3 linked regions of the Anolis sagrei genome follow. The protein of the gene in region 2 interacts with the protein of the main gene of each other region in a biochemical or structural test. Links are inferred from orthologs where the notes say so. Each region holds a gene or a part of one and is shown on either strand. Other genes may lie near its edges. The genes, in order: PTTG1, ANAPC11 and UBE2C.

What was found.
Region 1: of the proteins of ANAPC11 (region 2) and PTTG1, one has a biochemical effect on the other in vitro, tested with the Homo sapiens proteins (3 studies listed by BioGRID). The link is inferred for Anolis sagrei from reciprocal best matches to the Homo sapiens genes ANAPC11 and PTTG1.
Region 3: the proteins of ANAPC11 (region 2) and UBE2C form a complex in vitro, tested with the Homo sapiens proteins (66 studies listed by BioGRID). The link is inferred for Anolis sagrei from reciprocal best matches to the Homo sapiens genes ANAPC11 and UBE2C.

The regions. Positions count from the first base shown.
Region 1 is NC_090022.1:111,400,519-111,406,815, forward strand, and holds the start of PTTG1 (securin), read right to left. Parts: upstream 3,329-6,297; 5' UTR 3,297-3,328; intron 1,994-3,296; exon of another isoform or gene 1,855-1,993; intron 1,821-1,854; exon of another isoform or gene 1,786-1,820; intron 1,686-1,785; 5' UTR 1,578-1,685; intron 593-1,577; 5' UTR 573-592; coding exon 482-572; intron 1-481. UniProt on the Homo sapiens protein: Regulatory protein, which plays a central role in chromosome stability, in the p53/TP53 pathway, and DNA repair. Probably acts by blocking the action of key proteins.
Region 2 is NC_090022.1:113,659,788-113,666,084, reverse strand, and holds the start of ANAPC11 (anaphase-promoting complex subunit 11), read right to left. Parts: upstream 3,614-6,297; 5' UTR 3,527-3,613; exon of another isoform or gene 3,395-3,526; intron 1-3,394. Other genes in the region: ALYREF (THO complex subunit 4), read left to right, coding at 3,704-3,949, 4,444-4,575, 6,105-6,252. UniProt on the Homo sapiens protein: Together with the cullin protein ANAPC2, constitutes the catalytic component of the anaphase promoting complex/cyclosome (APC/C), a cell cycle-regulated E3 ubiquitin ligase that controls progression through mitosis and the G1 phase of the cell cycle.
Region 3 is NC_090024.1:248,941,507-248,947,803, forward strand, and holds the start of UBE2C (ubiquitin-conjugating enzyme E2 C), read right to left. Parts: upstream 3,867-6,297; 5' UTR 3,802-3,866; coding exon 3,689-3,801; intron 3,586-3,688; coding exon 3,558-3,585; intron 1,198-3,557; coding exon 1,111-1,197; intron 1-1,110. Other genes in the region: DNTTIP1 (deoxynucleotidyltransferase terminal-interacting protein 1), read right to left, coding at 6,095-6,236. UniProt on the Homo sapiens protein: Accepts ubiquitin from the E1 complex and catalyzes its covalent attachment to other proteins. In vitro catalyzes 'Lys-11'- and 'Lys-48'-linked polyubiquitination.

The sequences.
Region 1 (6,297 bases), about 2.3 Mb from region 2:
GTGAAGTACTACTGGAAGCTTCCTCATTGAAAGGCAACCAATTAATAGTATGTGTCCCTTCTATCCATTTTTTTCTTCCTTTGCTTGTTCAAAGTTTTCTTTCTAAAACATTGTCTTCTGCTCATTGCTACTCTTTACATAAAAGCTTCACTAACTCCTTTTCAAGTATCTTCTTAAAACATATGTTTATATTCCATCAAGGAACTCAAGATACTACACACAGGGTTCCCCAAAAGGAACATATTCAACAACTGATCAAACCCTCACTACAATTCAGTAATGTGGCTGCTTATGAAATGTGCCCAGAGATTAGCAATTATGTACAAGATGAGAAAAATAAATGCATAGCTGACTACGATAAAGAATGAGAGTAACCACAGGGTGAGTAAGAACTCGCTCATTAAAGTCACTAGTACTTTCAAGCAAAGGGGCATATTAGTTCTTTTATATCGGCTTTACATTTGAATTAATGCATACTCACAAGGTGCTGGTAGGGTTCTGAGTCGATCCTTAGAGGCAGTAACAATGCCAGCATCACCATTTTCTTTGTCTATGTATATGCGCGTTGCCATTCCTTTTGCATCAGATGGTCCTAAAATAGACACCACAGCTGCAGTAGCAGATCCTATATTGCTCATGTAATAATGCCCCAAAAATACAACAGGAAACATGTTCTCTCAAGAACACCCAGTCAAGCTTCTTGGAGTGAAAACAAACATTATTAGTTTGACACACTGTTTAAGACTTGTGAAGCTTCCTTCTACTGAGCTGGGACAAACACTACAGTATTTTATATAAGGAATTTTAAAAACATTCACTGCTCTCTAATCCAGGCATGGGCAAAGTTTGGCCCTCCAGGTGTTTTGTACTTTAACTCCCACAATTACTAACCGCTGGTTAGGAATTCCAACCGGCTGTTATACATTGTGGGAGTTGAAGTCCAAAACACCTGGAGGGCCGAACTTTCCCCATACCTGCTCTAGTCACTTGCATCAGAAAAATAAAAGCTCACAAGTTCATCAGTGTGGTATTTAAATATTTAATTAAAATTTGAACTCTATATAAATAAAAATGGAATGTTCGTTTGTGGGATTAACATAACTCAAATTGACACCAAATGTGGACACAATACACCTATCAGGCCAACGAGTGACCATCACTCATAAAAACACTGAAAAACACAGCAGAAGGGGCTTAAAAAGCCAGAAAATAAAAAATACATTACAACGCATTTGCATAACCACATATATACACATACATACACACACAAAACACATATACACAGACTGGGCCACAGCAAGGTGTGGCAGGGGATGGCTAGTACTTAATAAAAGTACATTTGCAAACAGAACAATTTTTTTTCAAAAGCGATTAAAAAAACAAAGCAGAAAAGTCTTGAAAAGGTACGATGTTCAAAGGTTTGTTGTTTTAACTTATTTGAATACTTTCCATGAACCAGTGGTTTCAACAGTCACAAGATTTTTTTAAAAAAAGTTACTTTTTTACTAAAGCCAACAACATGCATGCCGACACTTTTGGCTTATTTGACACAGTTTCTCCTGTCTGGAGCTACTCACTCAAACTACACTCTCTGGAAAGCAACCAACTGCAGTAACACAGCCAAATAACACCAGTCTATCCTGGTTGAGATCTTTTGGAAGGAAGCTTCGACCAACAGGAAACAACTAGGAATTAAAGCAAAAACACAAAACCATAAATGTTTATCCTTGTTCCTGGTACATTATTAATTATATCTTATTTTTAATTATGCTTATAATATTATACAAAATAAAGGTGCAGTCCTGAATCTCAAAGCATTAAGCAGCATTCCATTAAAAATGAAGAGAAAAACACCTGCAAACCCCACTTATGAATCCCAACCCAACCCACCGTGCCTTCAAAGTGAGTTCATAGAGTTCAGTCTAACAGGGAACTGTTTTTAAAATCGTTAACGTCGTACGTCATTGGTTGGTTCCCATCCTCGCAGGACGCCAGCAATCCTGATTGGCTGTTTTGCTAAACCAACAGCAGCAGAGAAGAAGGGCGCGAGCGGAGTTTGCGCAGTCGGGAGTAAACCTCGGAAAATACTGTAGGTGTTAGTTGCAGGACTCAGGAATTCACACCGTTTGAGATCCCTTTAAGCGCTGTGGCTCAATGCTATGGAGTCATGGGAGTCGTACTTTGGCAAGGCACTCCTTGGCAGAGAAGGCTAAGGGCCCTGGAAAACTACATCTCCCCTGGTTCCATAGCATTGCGCCATGGCGGTCATAGTGGTGTCAAACTGCATTCACCCTACAATGTAGATGCACCTTAGCAGATGCTGGCCTGTGCTGCAATCCAGAGAGAGCACCCTACAGTGCCGCTTTGAAAAGTTAATTTTGGGTGCATCTACATTGCAGAATTAGTGCCGCATTGATACAGCTTTAACTGCCAGGGCTCAATGCTATGCGATCCTGGGCGTTGTAGTTTTACCTTCTCTGCCCAAGGCTGTTGCCTCACCAAGCCACAAAACCCCAGGATCCCATAGCCATGGCAGTTAAAGTGGTCCCAAACTGCATTATTTCTACAGCACAGAAGTGGCCTTTTTGGATTGCAGGTCCCAGAATCCCCAAGCCAAGCGTGACCAAGGGCAGTTTGAGGAATGCTGGGAATTGCAGTCAAAAACACAGCTGGTACATAAGGACACTGAAAGGGCCCTAAGGCCCTGCCATACAATCCAGATAATCAAAGATATTACACATCTGCTTTGAACTGGATTATATGAGTCTACACTGCCATATAATCCAGTTCAAATAAAATAAATTGGATATTATATGGCAGTGTAGAAGGGGCCTAAGGGAGTTATGCCTCAGGGCCCTTCCACATAGCCATAAAACCCAAAATATCAAGGCGAGTAATCCACAATATCTGTTTTGAACTGGGATATCTGAGTCCACACTGCCATATAATCCGGTTCATTATGGATGTTATACAACTGTGTGGAAGGAGGCTCAGGGCTGCCCTGAAAGGGAGATATGATTTCCCTTCTCTGCAAAAGGCTGAGAAATCTCTCCAATGACCCAGCTGCCCAAAAGGAAGAGCCCAGCGCTCTACCTGTCACCTCCCATTCTGGGCTTGTAGTTCAGCGAGGCCCAAGAGCTCTCTAACTGGGAGTTCTTAATGTCCTTCGCTAAACTATAAATCCCATGATTCCATTGGTCTGTTTCCATAGTAGTGCTCTAGCTATGGCTCTGCAGGTTCTTAAACCCAATCCTTTTTTTTTTTTTTTCAAGCAGCCATTCACTCTCTGCAGTCACCCAGAATGAACGCTGGGCAGCCGAAGCTGATTGGGAAGGATCCCTTGCTTCGGAGGTGAATTAAGCTCTATCCCTTTAAGAAAAAAAAGTAGGAGGGGCGAATAGGGCCGCGCGCTGCATTATGGGAAACGGAAGTGAGGCCTACTTAGTGTCGTAGCCTCAGTAAAGCTGAAGGAGTGAATGCCTTCGACTTTTGGGTGAGTCTGAGGGGCTTTTCCTGGTGTTTCCGGAAGCGGAGACTGTTTTTGTATGTGTTGTGGTGTGTCTTCTCCTGGGATCTCAACTCCTCCTTCAAACTACCTTTCAATTACACTTGTTTACACAACGGACGTAATCCCTCGCTCTTGTTGTTGTCAAGTCAGTTCTGATTTATGGCGACTTTAAAGCGAAACTGCCACAGGATTTCTTGGCAGGAGTTCATCAGAAGGGGCTTGACTTTGCCTTCCTCTGAGGCTGAGAGAGTGTGACTGCTCCGAGTCCACTCGGTGGATTTCTAGGGTTGAATAGGGATTGGAATTGGTCTCCAGCTGTACTGTAGAATTGATGCAGTTTGACACCACTTTAACTGCCATGGCGCAGTGGTATGGAATCCTGGGAGCTGTTGTTTTGTAAGGCTTCTGCACTCTGTGACAGAGAAAGCCAAAGACGTTGTCAAACTACAGATCTCAGTGAATTTGGTGTAATAATACCAATCCTACAGTGTAAATACATCCTGTGTTGCCATATGTTTCCACTATTTATTTACCATATTTGTATACCGCCCCTCTCAACCCAGAGGCGACTCGAGGCGGTTTACAATCGGCAGTCAATGCTCCCAAACAACATAAAATACAGTTAAAAGCAAGGCTGTTGCCTCACCAAGCAACAAAACCCCAGGATCCCATAGCCATGGCAATTAAAGTGGTCTCAAACTGCATTATTTCTACAGTACAGAAGTGGCCTTCCCTATAGTCATGTAAAGTTAGAACCATCTGCTGCAACACCGGATGGGAGTGCCATATTGTTTGCAGCAGGGATCAGAAACAGAATGCTCTCCATGAAACCACAGTAGGTATACCTTGCTTTGGTATTTAGTTCCTTTATATTTGTGTGTTTTATTTGTCAATACGTATACTGTCCAGATGTCCTAAAAGTGCCAAATCCCATCTGGTCTTGGAAGTTAAGGAAGAACTCCAGCCCCAATTAGGACTTGAATGGGAAAGCAACATAGTAATGTCTACACTCTTAACTGTTTAGAATTCTAGAAGAAAACCTATTCCTGACCAAGAGTCTTCCTTAATTTATAGCTTTTTATCACCTGCCATTGATTCTGAAAGACCTCAAAACATAGTGGAAAAACCTAAATGTGGATATGTGTGTGCCTTTAGGTTGATTTATATTGATTTATGGTATCAAAACTGCATTAATTCTATAGTGTAGATATACCCAGGGACAGGATAGTTGAGTTTTTAAGCAGCATATGTACTTAGTGTCTCAAACATCTATTTATAAAGGAATTTTTAGAAAGTATCACAAGTGTAATTATGAACGTCTCGGCTCTGTTTCTTACCACAGTCTCCTTCAATAGCTGTCAAAAGGGCTAGTTAATGCTCTAGTAGTGGTTCTCAACCTGTGGATCCCCAGATGTTTTGGCTTTCAACTCCCAAAAATCCTAACAGCTGGTCAACTGGCTGGGATTTCTGGGAGTTGTAGGCCAAAACACTTGAGGACCCACAGGTTGAGAAGCATTACTCTATATAGAGCATTCTTCCCTAAACTAGCTAGGAGGAATTGCTGGAAAGAAAACCATAAGCAGCAGGTAAACATATGCAAATGTGGGCAGTCATAAGCATACTAAATATGCTACAATTTGTTTTACAGTGTAGATTTCTTTAATCATAATCTTTTTTTTAAACAGATAGTAATATTTTTTTTAATTACAAAGCTTTTACGCTTAAATTAATCCTGACCTATAGTTTCTTTTACATCTTTCAAAAACTTGACTGTTCAGAACATCAATTATGGTTGTTGCTATTGTTTTAAAAATTGTACTATTATATTCTGTGTCATGTCTGCAGAATATCTACTATAGGAGCATATAAAAGTGTTTCACATAGGTTCACATGACTTAACCAAGCATAGTAGCTTAGATACTAAATAAGCTTATGTAACTAGCAGAACTGTAAAACAGGTCTTTCCATCCCTGGTGCTTCAGTTCCTTGCAGTTGGAAATGTATAGTAAACATATAATACAGTTCTCAAGATGTTGTTCTTCTCGATTAAAAACAGTTTCAAATGCCACATTGGCCAGTACTTAAAGAAAGTTCTTCAGTTGTTGTTTAGAACAAATAAATGCTAGTTAGTTCAAATAGATGAGGGAAAATTAAAACATCGTGGAGGTGATTGTGAAACTATTATCACAGAGAATAATATTATTATTATTTTAATTGCAATGCCAACACAAAAGTAAGAAACCCATTAGAAGTGTTAACAACTAGGCCTGGGTAACAACGGAAAAATTTGTTTCTAAAATCGATTCGTTTTTTGGGGGTTTTTGCGTTTCGATTTTAAAAAGAATTCCGAAATTTTTCTTTTAAAAAGTTCGATATTTACGAAATTTCGTAAATGTTAAAAAAATTACGAAACAATAACGAATTGATTCGTTAATGGCGGATGCGACCGCGAAATACGCTAAAAAACCTCCAAATGGGACAGGGGGGAACTTCTGAAGCTTCCCTCTCCCTCTGTTGTTGACTGTTGGTGTGATATTATAATTTTTTTTCACTAATTAAACAAAAAACAACTATAAAACCTGCCCCAGACATGCGGAAATAATAACGAAACGACTTCAAAACGATAATGAAACGAATACAAAACGAATTAGAAACAATTACGAAACGAATTTAAAAATTCGTTTCGTTTTTAAGTTGCTCCAGAATGGTTCGTTATCGCTTCGTTACTTAAAAAAAAATAACGAATTTTTAACGAATTACGAATTAACAAAACGAAACCGCCCAGCCCT
Region 2 (6,297 bases):
GCTTGTGCCTTCTTTAGGGATGATGCAGGACAGACTACAACCAAATTCCAGATTAGGACAGGATGGAAGCAGAGATTTTTGAGACATTAAAGCAAAGTAATATATATTAATTCTTACCTATGATTACATTGTTTTTATAGTATAACCATTACAGCAGATGAATACCAAGGTCCTAATGCCCAGCATAACTATACAAAAGCATTGCAGAAGAACAGCAGCATTAAGACATTGCAAAGCTGGGTACATTATTAATATTGAACTCAACAAAATTTGAAGTAGTTGGGTAGGAATCATATCCCATGTGGGTAGAATTCAAAGGCATGACTGCATTAGTCTAGAATACCAGTATGCAAAGGGATCTTGCAGTACCTTAGAGGCAAAATGAGACAACAAAACTGATAACATAACCTTTCCAAGATCAAGTCTATTTTGTCAGTAGCTCGCCACAGAGTTTGTGGGCATGGTGCTAAAATGACCAGTTCAGTGTTAATGATGTCACTGAGGAACAAAGGGAGTCGAGAAGATGTTGCCTAAAGGCAAGATAAGTAGATAAGCATATGAATGGTGGAGGGAGTTCTTGGACTGTCCTGTACCTGTTTTGCATTTCTATGGCTATTCACACATTCTGTGTATAAAGATCTCTTTACCCTAGGGATAAATAGGAATGTCTGGTGCTAACCCACCTGATAAACATGTATGTACTGAAACACAATCATTTTTTTTATACTATAATTAACTATTTGATATTGCTGTTTACAATATAAATAAACTGACACAGAACTTCTAGGACCATAAACTTTTATCACATAGATTTTATGAATTTTTCCCAAGCACTTCAGTCCATGCATCTGAGAAATCGGACGAATTATGAAAGTTTAAGCTACTAGCGTCATTCTTTCAGTCTCTAAGTGCCACAAGACCCCTTTGCATACTGTTAAGACTGCAATAGTTCCTATCGCAGCCCTTGAAAGGAAGAAAAGCAAAAGATATCCATATTTTGCAGGATATTCTCAACTGAGTCTTATTTAATTTATATGTTGCCTTTCTTATAAATAAATAAATAAATAAACCAATAATAAAACATTAAAACAATTTAAACTATCATGTTAAAGCAGTACATAATTATTGAAAGCACATATCAAAAATAAAGCATTCTTCCCCGTGGGCAATTACATATTATCAGATTAATATTTTAAACACTGTATTTTCAGTTACCAGCTCCCCGTATCTTGCCATCTTCTTTTAAACAGCTTGTAAGAAGTAAACCCTAGGTAGCTGAAGAACTAGGGACTTCAGCACACTAGAGCATCTATCAACCTTAAATCCAGTTTCTGCCTCCTGCAGAATTCTGGGTTTGTAGTTTAGAGAGTGGCCTTTAAAAAGCTCATCCAGAGAGGTCTTGGAACTCACTAAACTACAAACCCCAGAATTTTGCAGGAGGGAACAACTGGATTTAAAGTGGATAGATGCTCTAGTGTACGCTTGGGCAAACTTCAGCCCTCCAGGTGTTCTGGACTCCAACTCCCACAATTCCTAACAGCTTACTAGCTGTTCGGACTTGTGGGAGTTAGAGTCCAAAACACCTGGAGCACCCAAGTTTGCCCATGTTTGCTCTATTGTGATGAAGTAGCTGCTTTTGTAACAGTGACCTAAAATTAATGGTTGGCTCAAACTATAGCAGGCTCTTTGCACTATCTGTGTGTCTGTATACACACAACACTTCAAGCTGATCATTGACTGATTGCGTTATTGTAGGTTTTTTGGGCTATATGGCCATGTTCTAGAGGCATTCTCTCCTGACATTTCGCCTGCATCTATGGCAAGCATCCTTGTGAGGTCCTCACAACCTCTGAGGATGCTTGCCATAGGCGAAACATCAGGAAAGATGCCTCTAGAACAGGGATCCTCAAACTTTTTAAACAGAGGGCCAGGTCACAGTCCCTAAAACTGTTGGAGGGCTGGATTATAATTTGAAAATAACATGAATTCCTATGCATGCTGCACATATCTTATTTGTAGTGCAAAAAACACTTTAAAGCAATACAATATTTAAAATGAAGAACAATTTTAACAAATGTAAACTTATTAGTATTTCAATGGGAAGTGTGGGCCTGCTTTTGGCTGAGATAGGATTGCTGTTGTTATAGCCTAAAGCAAGGGTCCTCAAACTAAGGCCCGAGGGCCGGATGCGGCCCTCCAAGGTCATTTACCCGGCCCTCGCTCAGGGTCAACCTAAGTCTGAAATGACTTGAAAGCACACAACAACAATCCTATGTCATCACCCAAAAGGAGGCCCACACTTCCCATTGGAATACTATTAAGTTTATATTTGTTAAAATTGGTTTTTGTTTTAATTATTGTATTGTTTTAAAGTGGTTTTTGCACTACAAATAAGATATGTGCAGTGTGCATAGGAATTCATTCATATATTTTTTTCAAATTATAATCGGGCCCTCCAACAGTTTGACGGACTGTGACCTGGCCCTCTTTTTAAAAAGTTTGAGGACCCCTAGCCTAAAGCATCTGATATTTGGTGGCTGTCTCCCATCTAGGAGCTATGCAGTTTTCAAGATCAGGCAGACCTTGGCACCTTTACAACTGTTAGGCGCACACTGACTGCTGCGTAGTCAATTGGCATGAATCTATAAAAGTAAAGGTTTCCCTTGACATTAAGCCTAGTTGTGTCCGACTCTGGGGGTTGGTGCTCATCTCCATTTCTAAGTTGAAGAGCCAGTGTTGTCCATAGATACCTCCAAGGTCATGTGGCCAGCATGACTCCATGGAGTGCTGTTACCTTCCTGCCGGAGCTGTACCTATTGATCTACCCACATTTGCATGTTTTCAAACTGCTAGGTTGGCAGGAGCTGGACTTACAGCGGGAGCTCACCCTGCTCCCCAGATTCGAACAGCCAATATTTAGGTTAGCAAGTTCAGCAGCTCAGCGGTTTAACCGGCTGCACCACCAGGGGCCCTGGCACCAATGTAATGGCTCTGCTCTCGTTGGAACTAGCAGCTTGGCCTGGGCAATGCTTCAGCGTTGGGCTATTATTACGTGCGGATCTCTTTACCAAAGAGCAGCCGCCAAACAACAGCAGCAGCCACAAGACTGTAGTCTGAGGTCTCCGTCTACACTGGCCATTTATTGCAGTTCCAAAGCGATTTTGCTGTGCAGTCAGATGGCTACATGAGAAATCCTGGAGCCAGTTTGAGGCCCAGAAAGTGCTGAAAGCCCTGAGGCACATTAAGGGCTTTGCATTCAAGGGAGTTTGTCGCCTGGTTGCCGAACTGTATGAAATGTTTAGTGCAGACGGGGCTTTGGGGGGAACAGCCCCCTCCCCTGCCCCGAGGCAGCATCCTCCTCCTCCTCCAACCTTCCCGCCTCCCTTCCCCTTACCGGAAGTCCCGCCCCCAAGGGCTCTCCCATAGTTCCTCGCGCACCCAAGCCCTTAAAACCGAGCGCGAGAGGCCCCTTGGCGCACTTCTTTCAGCGGAGGAGCCCGGCACGAGCGCAAGCGCGCCCACCCACCGCGCTCTTCCCTTCCTTTCTTTCCCGCCTCCTTCTCCTTCTTCTTCCTCCTCAGCCAGGCTCCTTCTTTTTCTCCTTCGCCGCCCTTCCCTCTGTATCCCCGCCTCATCCGTTTCCGGTCCCCTCGCGCAGCGCGGCCGGAAGCGTAGGCCCCAGGAGCCGGAGGGAGCCGCCATCATGGGCGACAAAATGGACATGTCTCTGGACGATATTATCAAGCTCAACCGGAGCCAGCGAGGCGGAGGCGGGCGCGCCGGGCGAGGCCGGGGGCGAGGGGCCGCGGGGCGAGGCGGCGGAGGAGGCGGCGGCGGCGCGGGGCGAGGAGGCGGAGGCGCGGGGCGGGCAGGAGGCGGAGGCCCCATCCGGAACAGAGCCGCCTTGTCCCGGGGAGGCGGCAGGAACAGGCCGGCGCCCTACAGCCGGGTACGTTTCCGCCAGGCGTCTCCTGGGGGTCTGCCTTCGGGCTCATCTGGACTCTCACTGCATTCGCAACTCGTGATAGCACTTGGGCCTGCACCTGGGGGAGAAAACGCAGGGAAGCCTAGGCTTATACTATACGGCAGTGGTTCTCAACCTGTGGGTCCCCAGATGTTTTGGCCTTCAATTCCCAGAAATCCTAACAGCTGGTAAACTGGCTTGGATTTCTGGGAGTTGTAGGCCAAAACACCCGGGGACCCACAGGTTGAGAACCACTGCTCTAGGGGCTGTAGTCTGAAAATAAGGGGACATGAGACCTTAAGACAAGTGGTTTGCCACTTGTCGGTCCCCAGTATTTTGGCCTACAAGTCCCAGAAAGTTTACCAGCTGTTAGGATTTCTGGGAGTTGAAGGCCAAAACATCTGGGAAGCCACAGGTTGAGAACCAATGCCTTAAGATATGCTGATCAGTTACTGACTTGGGGTGCCCTTTCTTTCCAGCCCAAACAACTTCCAGAAAAGTGGCAACATGATCTCTTCGAAAGTGGCTTTGGTCCTGGCGCTGGTGTGGAGACAGGTGGAAAACTTCTGGTCTCTAATCTAGATTTTGGCGTGTCAGATGCGGACATACAGGTAGGTTTTCCCTTCATCTCTAATAATAGGTGGCCCAGTGTTGGAATTTGTTCTAACTCAGGCATGAGCAAACTTCATCCCTCCAGGTGTTTTGGACTCCAATTCCTAACAGCTGGTAGGCTGTTAGGAATTGTGGGAGTTGGAGTCCAAAACACCCGGAGGGCCGAAGTTTGCTCATGCCTGAGCTAGCTGATAAGGTTGTGTAATGGAGACCGCCTTTATTTTGGGCATCTTATTGCAAATTTCATCTGTGTGGACATGGGTGTTTTTTTATGATTGTGACAAATGTCTTAATGTTTGGAGAGAAGCAGAAATGTCTCTCTGTGAAATTATCAGCATTAATATTTATTTCCTTTGATAGTTTGGGATTGTTAGCAAACACATTGATATTCATAGGCTGTCTTGTTTTGTGTAGAGTACATATATGAACATTTTCTAAACAATTTCATAAGCTTAGTACTATAGTAGATATATCTGTTCTACACACTTCTTTTTGTAATCCTTGGGATATGTGGATCTCTATTGGATTATTTTTTTCTGTGCAGGGAAGTCTGAACCTAAGGCTAACCTATACAAAGACAGAAAATTATTAATTAAAAAATCATTAAAATTTTATTTCTAGTCTGTCCTATCTCCCTGAAAGGACTCAGGGCGATTTCTAATACAAAAGCAAATATTCAATGCCATATGCAACCATAAAAACACAGCACCATAAAATAACAATGAAACATGGCTAAAATGCATGCATAAAATAAACTCTATGAGGAGGGTAAACAATCAGGCTTTTTTGCAGGGAGAAAATTTTATCCTGTTGAACCACATTTCCCAGTACTGTTTATCCTTTGAAATAAAGCCAATGTTGTATCAGACAATAGGCAAACAAGAATATATTGTGGTTTGGTTGTAGGGTACAATGGCTTTTATGACTTCAGATGAACATATGCTCACACACTGGATTCATGAAGGCCAGACTTTTTGCCAATCTGCTCTTAAAACAGCATAAGGCAAAAGACACTTGCATGATTTGAGATTCAAACATGGCAATGGTTTATATAGTGTTATGCAAGATCACTTAACTTGTTTAGGAGTATGTAGCTTAAGCAGGGTAAGCCGCTTCAAATGCCCAAGAAGCAGTTCTCCACCACAGTGGGCTCCACTACAGAAAGTACAGCAGGGAACTTGTTTTCCATAATTATTCTTCTGATTTTATTTGTAGTGGGGCTATGAGGAATGCAACCACTCCACTTTATTTTGTGGCTGAGGCACCTTGGTGGAGGTCTCATCAACATTGCCTCCTCAGGAGATCTTCTGCCCTACATTTCTTGCATTTTTCCTTGAGTTCTGGGGTTAATTTAAGTAGAAAATGAGGCAAAGTTAATGCAAGATCTGATTTGTAGTTGTAGTAAAATGGCAAATGTGAGAGTGAAAGAGTTTACTGCTTTAATGGGTAATCTTTTTAGAAAGACCTGAATACTTTGCCAAATCCTCCTGGTTGAGATAACTTCCTACTTTTACCATATCATTTTCAGGAACTTTTTGCAGAATTTGGTACATTGAAGAAGGCAGCAGTACACTATGACCGATCTGGGCGTAGTCTAGGTACTGCAGATGTTCATTTTGAGAGGAAGGCAGATGCTCTGAAGGCTATGAAACAGTACAATGGAGTTCCCCTGGATGGTACGTGCTTAACTGTCTATCTTGATATTTACACAGTGGAATAAG
Region 3 (6,297 bases), on a different chromosome or scaffold from region 2:
CAACGTATATACACAGAGGCTATTTAACTTTTTCTGGCCGCCAGAGGAGCTGTCGCTTTAATCGTCCATCTGCAACACTGAGGAAGTACTTCCACATTCCCTGCATGCTTTTTTGCTGGAGTGCTTTTTATGACCTCATAAATTAGTTAATTAGCCTCCCCACACATAGATGGTCCCTAATTTTCCTACTTGATAGATGCAACTTTCGGGTTGCAAAGGTCGACAACAAGCTACACAAAATTGGTCGGAAGCTCACTCCGATCCAGTCTGGCTTCGAACCTTCTGGTCAGAGTGATCTTAATGCAGCTGACACTCAGCCTGCTGTGCCACAATCCCAGTGCTGTTCCAGGTGTCCCTCTCAGGTGGGCCACGTCTCTTGCAATGTGGGGGTCCGTGGCATTGGGGAACAGCCCCCCTCCATTTCCCAGACAGACCCTTAGAGACACCCAGGCACTGGATGGGCCCGGTTTGCTCTCCTTGGGCTTGGCTTTCTCCCACCAGGCTGATGCCTTTAATGCCCAGGTCAGCCAAGGCCGGGGGTTTGGGGGCCGATCCCCTCCCCAAATGGGACCCCAGCTTCCGTCCTTCAAAGTCCCAAGTGGCGTTTGGGGGCAGCAATCAGACCCAAACGGGTCAGCATTTAGCTCTGGATGAGGATAAAGCAAGAAGGCGTTTGGAGATGGGCGAGCAGATTCAATTGGGGGGTGGGGGGGGTGTTCTGGTCCTCAAACAGTGGGGGTGTGTGGGTCTCTTGGGAAGACTTTGGGTGGCACAATGGGTTGACCCCTTGTGCTGCTGAACTGCTGACCTGAAGGTTGGCAGTTCAAAGCTGCAGGTTGGGGGTGAGCTCCCGCTGTTAGCCCTAGCCAAACTAGCAGTTCAAAAACATGCGAATGTGAGTAGACCAATAGGTCCTGCCTCAGTGAGAAAAGGCAAAAAGATGTTTCAAGCAGTCATGCTGGCCACACAACCAGGAGGATGTCTATGGACAACACCGGCTCCTTGGCTTGGAAATGGAGAAAAGCGATACTATTATTATTCCTAATAATGATGCTGACCTCTATCCCGAAGGAAGGGAGGGTGTGTCCCCCCCCCCCCCCCCGCACTCACCGTCCCAGCTGCTCCAACGATGGTCCCGATCCACTTGAAGAGGTTTTCCGACTCTGGGAAGGCCGAGACGCCCTTGTTCCCCGACATCTGTGGGGTGGTGAGTGGTGGAAGAGGTCAGGAGTGGGGGGGGGGGGGGGCGAAGGGAGTGCCCCCCCCCCCCCAAGTAGGAGGTGTGTGGGCCCAGATTCCTGGCACACAAGTGACGCTCCTTTGGGTTGGATCAAGCTATCCAGACCCCCTCGTGTCTCCCTCCCGTGACTGCAAGCCCAGCAGCCCCAGAGAACCCTCTGCTTGGGGGGGGGGGGATTGGAGAAGGGGGCTGGACTAGATGGCCTCTGGGGTCTCACACAACCCTATGGGTCTATGAAGGGCTCCTTCTGCTAAAACAAGAGGGGTGGGAAGGAGCGCTTGGAGGGCTTCCCTGTGGTCACTGGGGTGGGGTGGGGGGCAACATCAGCGAAGTAGGAGAGAAACATTAACTCCTTCCTGGCTTTGATGTTTTGCTTTCTCTTGGCCCAAAGAAAGCCATTTTTCCCCCAGTTGCAAGGGCTGAATGCTAGGACTGGGGCCTGCCCAAACTATAACTCCCAGCATTCCACAGCCCTGGGCCATGGTGGTTAAAGTGGGGCTGAGCTGCGTGGGTTCTGCAGTGTTCAAGGCCTTGCGAAACCACAACTCCCAGCATTCCTCAGCCCTGAGCTGGGGGCCAAACGGCATTCTTTCTGGAGAAGGCTTCCAAGGGCGGGGGTGGGGGGCAGCAGAGGGACCCCCAGGAAAAAGGGCCCGGCCGCCAGGACGTTGAAACCCCCCCCCCCCCAGGCTTGAAATCCACATTTTCTAGGCGTTGGCGGAGTCATCGTTGCTCTTTGTTTTGGTTCTATCTGCTTTGACAGTCTTATGGTCTGACCTAAGTGTTTTCAGTATTTTATTCTGCCTTGAACCATAATAAAATTATTATTATTATTATTATTATTAGCCATCCCCTGGCAAGTATGGCTGTGGCTCAGTCTATGTATATGTGTTTTGTGTTTGTATATATGTGTGTATATATGCTTTTGTGAATGCATTGTAATGTAATTTTTTATTTTTGGCTTTTTAAGTCCCTTCTGCTGTGTTTTTCGGTGTTTTTATGAGTGATGGTCACTCCCTGGCCTGAGAGGTGTCTTGTGTCCACATTGGGTGTCCATTCGCCCAATGGTTTTGGAGTTGTGTTAATCCCACAAATGAACTCTGCATTTTTATTTAGATAGGTGCTAGCCATCCCCTGGCACGTATGGCTGCGGCCCAGTCTGTGTATATGCGTTTTGTGTGTGCATATATTTGTGTCTATGTGTAAATATATGTGTGTATTTGTGCATGTTTGTGGTTTTGCGCATGCGCTGTAGCGTCTTTTTGCTTTTGTGGCTTTTGAAGTCCCTTCTGCTGTGTTTTTTCAATGTGTTTATGAGTGATGGTCACTCGTTGGCCTGAGAGGGGTCTTGTGTCCAAATTTGGTGTCCATTCGTCCAGTGGTTTTTGAGTTATGCTAATCCCACAAACAAACAACGCATTTTTATTTATATAGAGTAGCCACCCCCTGGCATGTGTTGCTTTGGCCCAGCCTGTGTATATCTGTTTTGTGTGCGTATATATTTGTGTGTGTTTGTGTATATGTGTGGTTTTGCGCATGCGCTGTAGTCTTTTTGCTTTTGTGGCTTTTGAAGTCCCTTCTGCTGTGTTTTTTTAACGTTTTTATGAGTGATGGTCACTCCCTGGCCTGACCACAACGTCCTCCCCTGAAGGCCGGCCTGGCCCAACTCTGGCCCTCCCTCCCCCCCTCTCTCCCTTCAGGGATTTTGCACATGCGTTGACATGTATTAACGTAACTCAGGAACCAGTGGGCGAATGGACACCCAATGTGGACACAAGGCCCCTCTCAGGCCAGGGAGTGACCGTCACTCAGAAAAACACTGGAAAACACAGCAGAGGAGACTTCAAAAGCTAAAAATATACATGGCAACACAAGGGAGGGGGGAGGGAGGCTGTGGCCCTGAGCCGTGTGGCTGAAGAGAGAGAGGCGCCTGTCCTCATGGAGGTCGCCGAGGGGGAGGGGTCCCCATTGATTGGCAGCCAAAGGGGAGGGGTCCTTGGTTGAGGGATACCCCTCTCTTCCCCCTCCACGGCTGGGACTGCAGCATAATACAGTCCTTACGTACCTCCTGCCATGCCCAGCACTTTTGATTGTATGCATTACATGTGGCCCGGCCTTTAGTTTTAAATGCGTCCTGATGTTATGGCTTTAATGTTTATTGTTTGGCTTTTTGAGTTTTGTTGTTGTGTTTGTTGTGTTGTGTTGAGGCCTGTGTGAGCCGCACCGAGTCCTTCGGGTACAAATAAAGGTAATAAATAATAATAATAATAATAACTAATAAATAATAATAATAATATAGTCTAGAAGGCCTACTCACCATCAGCGCCATGAGCTCCTGCTGCAGCCTGTGGACACAGAGAGAGAGGGAGAGAGGGGTCAGTGGGGGAGAGGAGGGAGAAAGGGAGGCTCCCCCTTGACCTTGCCCGGCCTTGCCCTGCCCTGCCCGACCTGCTCCGGACGGATCCCTTTCCGGCGGCGGCGCTCCCTGCGGCGGCGGCCTTGCCCGGGGCCGGGGTCCCGCTCGGGTCCGTGTTCTGCGAGGAAGAAGAAGAAGAAGCCATGCCTCGCTCTCTCTCTCTCTCTGCCTTCCTTCTGTCTCTTGTCCTTCTCTTCCTTCCTTCCTCCTTCCAGGCTCTCCTTCTCCTTCTGCCGCCGCCTCCCAGTTTGAATGTTGCCAAGCTCCAGGAGGGCCAATCAGCGCCGCGCTACCATACTCCTCAACCAATCGCGGAAAGGAGGCGGGGCCCGGCGGGGGAATCTGTTCCCATTGGGCAACGCCCCGCTGACGAGGCCAGGGAAGGAGGGCGGAAGGGGCGTGGCTTGGGAAAGGGAGGCGGCCTTAAAGGGGCAACACCGGCCCTCCTGCAGGCTGTGCTTTAGGCCAGGGCTTCTCCACCTGTGGGCCCCTCCCCAGGTGTTTTTTTTTTTAAATAAACTTTATTGTCATTTTCAATACAGCTATAAAAACAATAGAAAAGACGCCACTACAGAACACAAGAGGCTATGAGTAGGAAACTCTCCAGGTGTTTTGGCCTACCACTCCCACAAATCCCGGCCAGTTTACCACCTCTTAGGATTTCTGGGGGTTGGAGGCCAAAACACCTGGAGGAGGGACCCACAGGTGGAGAACCAGGGATTGAGGGATCAGGAGGCAATAGAATCCTAGAGTTGGGAGAGACCTCCTGGGCCATCCTCCAGTCCAACCCCATTCTGCCAAGAAGCAGGAATGTTGCCTTCAAACCACCCCTGACAGATGGCCATCCAGCCTCTGATTAAAAGCTTCCAAAGAAGGAGACTCCACCACACTCCCTCTGGGGAAGGCAGAGAGTTTCACTGCTGAACAGCTCTCACAGTCAGGACGTTCTTCCTCGTGTCCAGATGGCATTTCCTCTCTTGTAGTTTGGAGCCATTGTTCCGTTGCGCCCTAGTCTCTCTCCAGGGAAGCAGAAAGGAAGCTTGCTCCCTCCTCCTCCTCCCTGTGGCTTCCTCTCACATATTTATACATGTGAGAGGAAGCCATATTTGTTTCTTGACAAAAGCATGGCATAAATTAGTATAAAACCAATAAACATAGAAGGCACACAGGCCGCTAGATATCTTTTGACCCAAAATGGGCAACAGCAACAGCATTGTCTGCAGCCTCCAAGCACTCTTCCTGCGTGGGCAAGCCAGAAGAGCCAAGCCATCCCAGAGTAATAATAATCCTAGAGTAATAATACAGCTGGAAGAGACCACCTGGGCCATCTAGTCCAATCTCCTGCCAAGCAGGAAAAGCACAATCAAAACACCCCCGGCAGATGGCCCTCCAGCTATCATCATCATCATCATCATCATCTTTCGGGGGTGCTTTGAAGGCAATATTCCTGCTTCTTGGCAGACTGGGTTGGCCTCTTCCAATTCCAGGATTCTGGGATTCCATGATCAGCCAGAAAGACCAATGGCCCTGATGGTTGGGGATGGGGACGCTTCTCTCTTGCCCAAGGATGATGGTCTTCCAAGTGTAGTGGTCCGTAGGTGACTGTGGACCCACAGTGAGAACATCGGTTTCCAGACGGAAGGCGGTCCCAGTCAGGGTTGGCTTGACGCGCCTCCTTCCTCTTGGCATGTTTCTCCCTTTCGCCCTCCATTCAGGCTTCTGTGAATTCTGCAGCACTGCTGGTCACAGCTGACTTCCAGTTAGAGCACTCAGGGGCCAGGGCTTCCCAGTTGTCTCTCGGTGTCTGTGCCCATCTTTGAATCTGCCCAATCTCTCTTCCTGCCCACCTTTGTTGAGTGGGGAGTAGAGTGACTGCTTTGGGGCTCGTGTACGTGGGAAAGGGCAGGCACCTGAGGTTTTGAGGAACTTATGGCATTGCAGGCAAAGCCCTGTCTCGATGTACTCCGAACAAGGAAGATGTACGGTATGTTCACCCTCTGTGCGCCTTGGGGTTGTCTTTCACGAGAAGACTCAATCCGTAGCAACACCAATGGAGCCAAGGACCCTCCTGACACATCTGCACGGCAGAATTAATGCTGGATTGGCACCACTTCGTCTGCCAAAAGAAGCCACACCACTGACTGAACCACAGTGGTCGAAGCTGCGCCCAAGTGCATCTGTCCCTCAGTGTGGGGACCCTTCCTCATAAGTGACAGTGGGCTGGGATTGTGCTCCCCCCCCCCCCCCCCCGACACAGAGTCTTCCCAAAAGGAGGAGAAGAGGCTTCCGGCCGGAGTGAGTGGTGTGTTTATTAGGATGAAGATGGTTGTGGTGGTGGTTTCCAGAGGTCCAGCCCAGAGGCAAGGAGAGAGAGAGAGAGTGAGCGCAGTCAGGGGGGCGGATCCTGCTCTGCCCCCCCACCCCCACCGCCCCTTCCCCTATGCGTCCTTGGGGGGCGGGGGTGGGGGGTCCCCTTCGCACCCGCAGCGCAGGGCCTCCATGGCGGTGCGCATCTTCTGGGCCATCCAGGCCGGCGCCGTGAAGGGCTTCAGTTCATCCAGCTTCAGCTCCAGAGATCCTCTGACAAGGGACAGAGAGAGGGAGAGAGAGAGAGAGAAAGCGCCATCAGCACCTTCAGGAA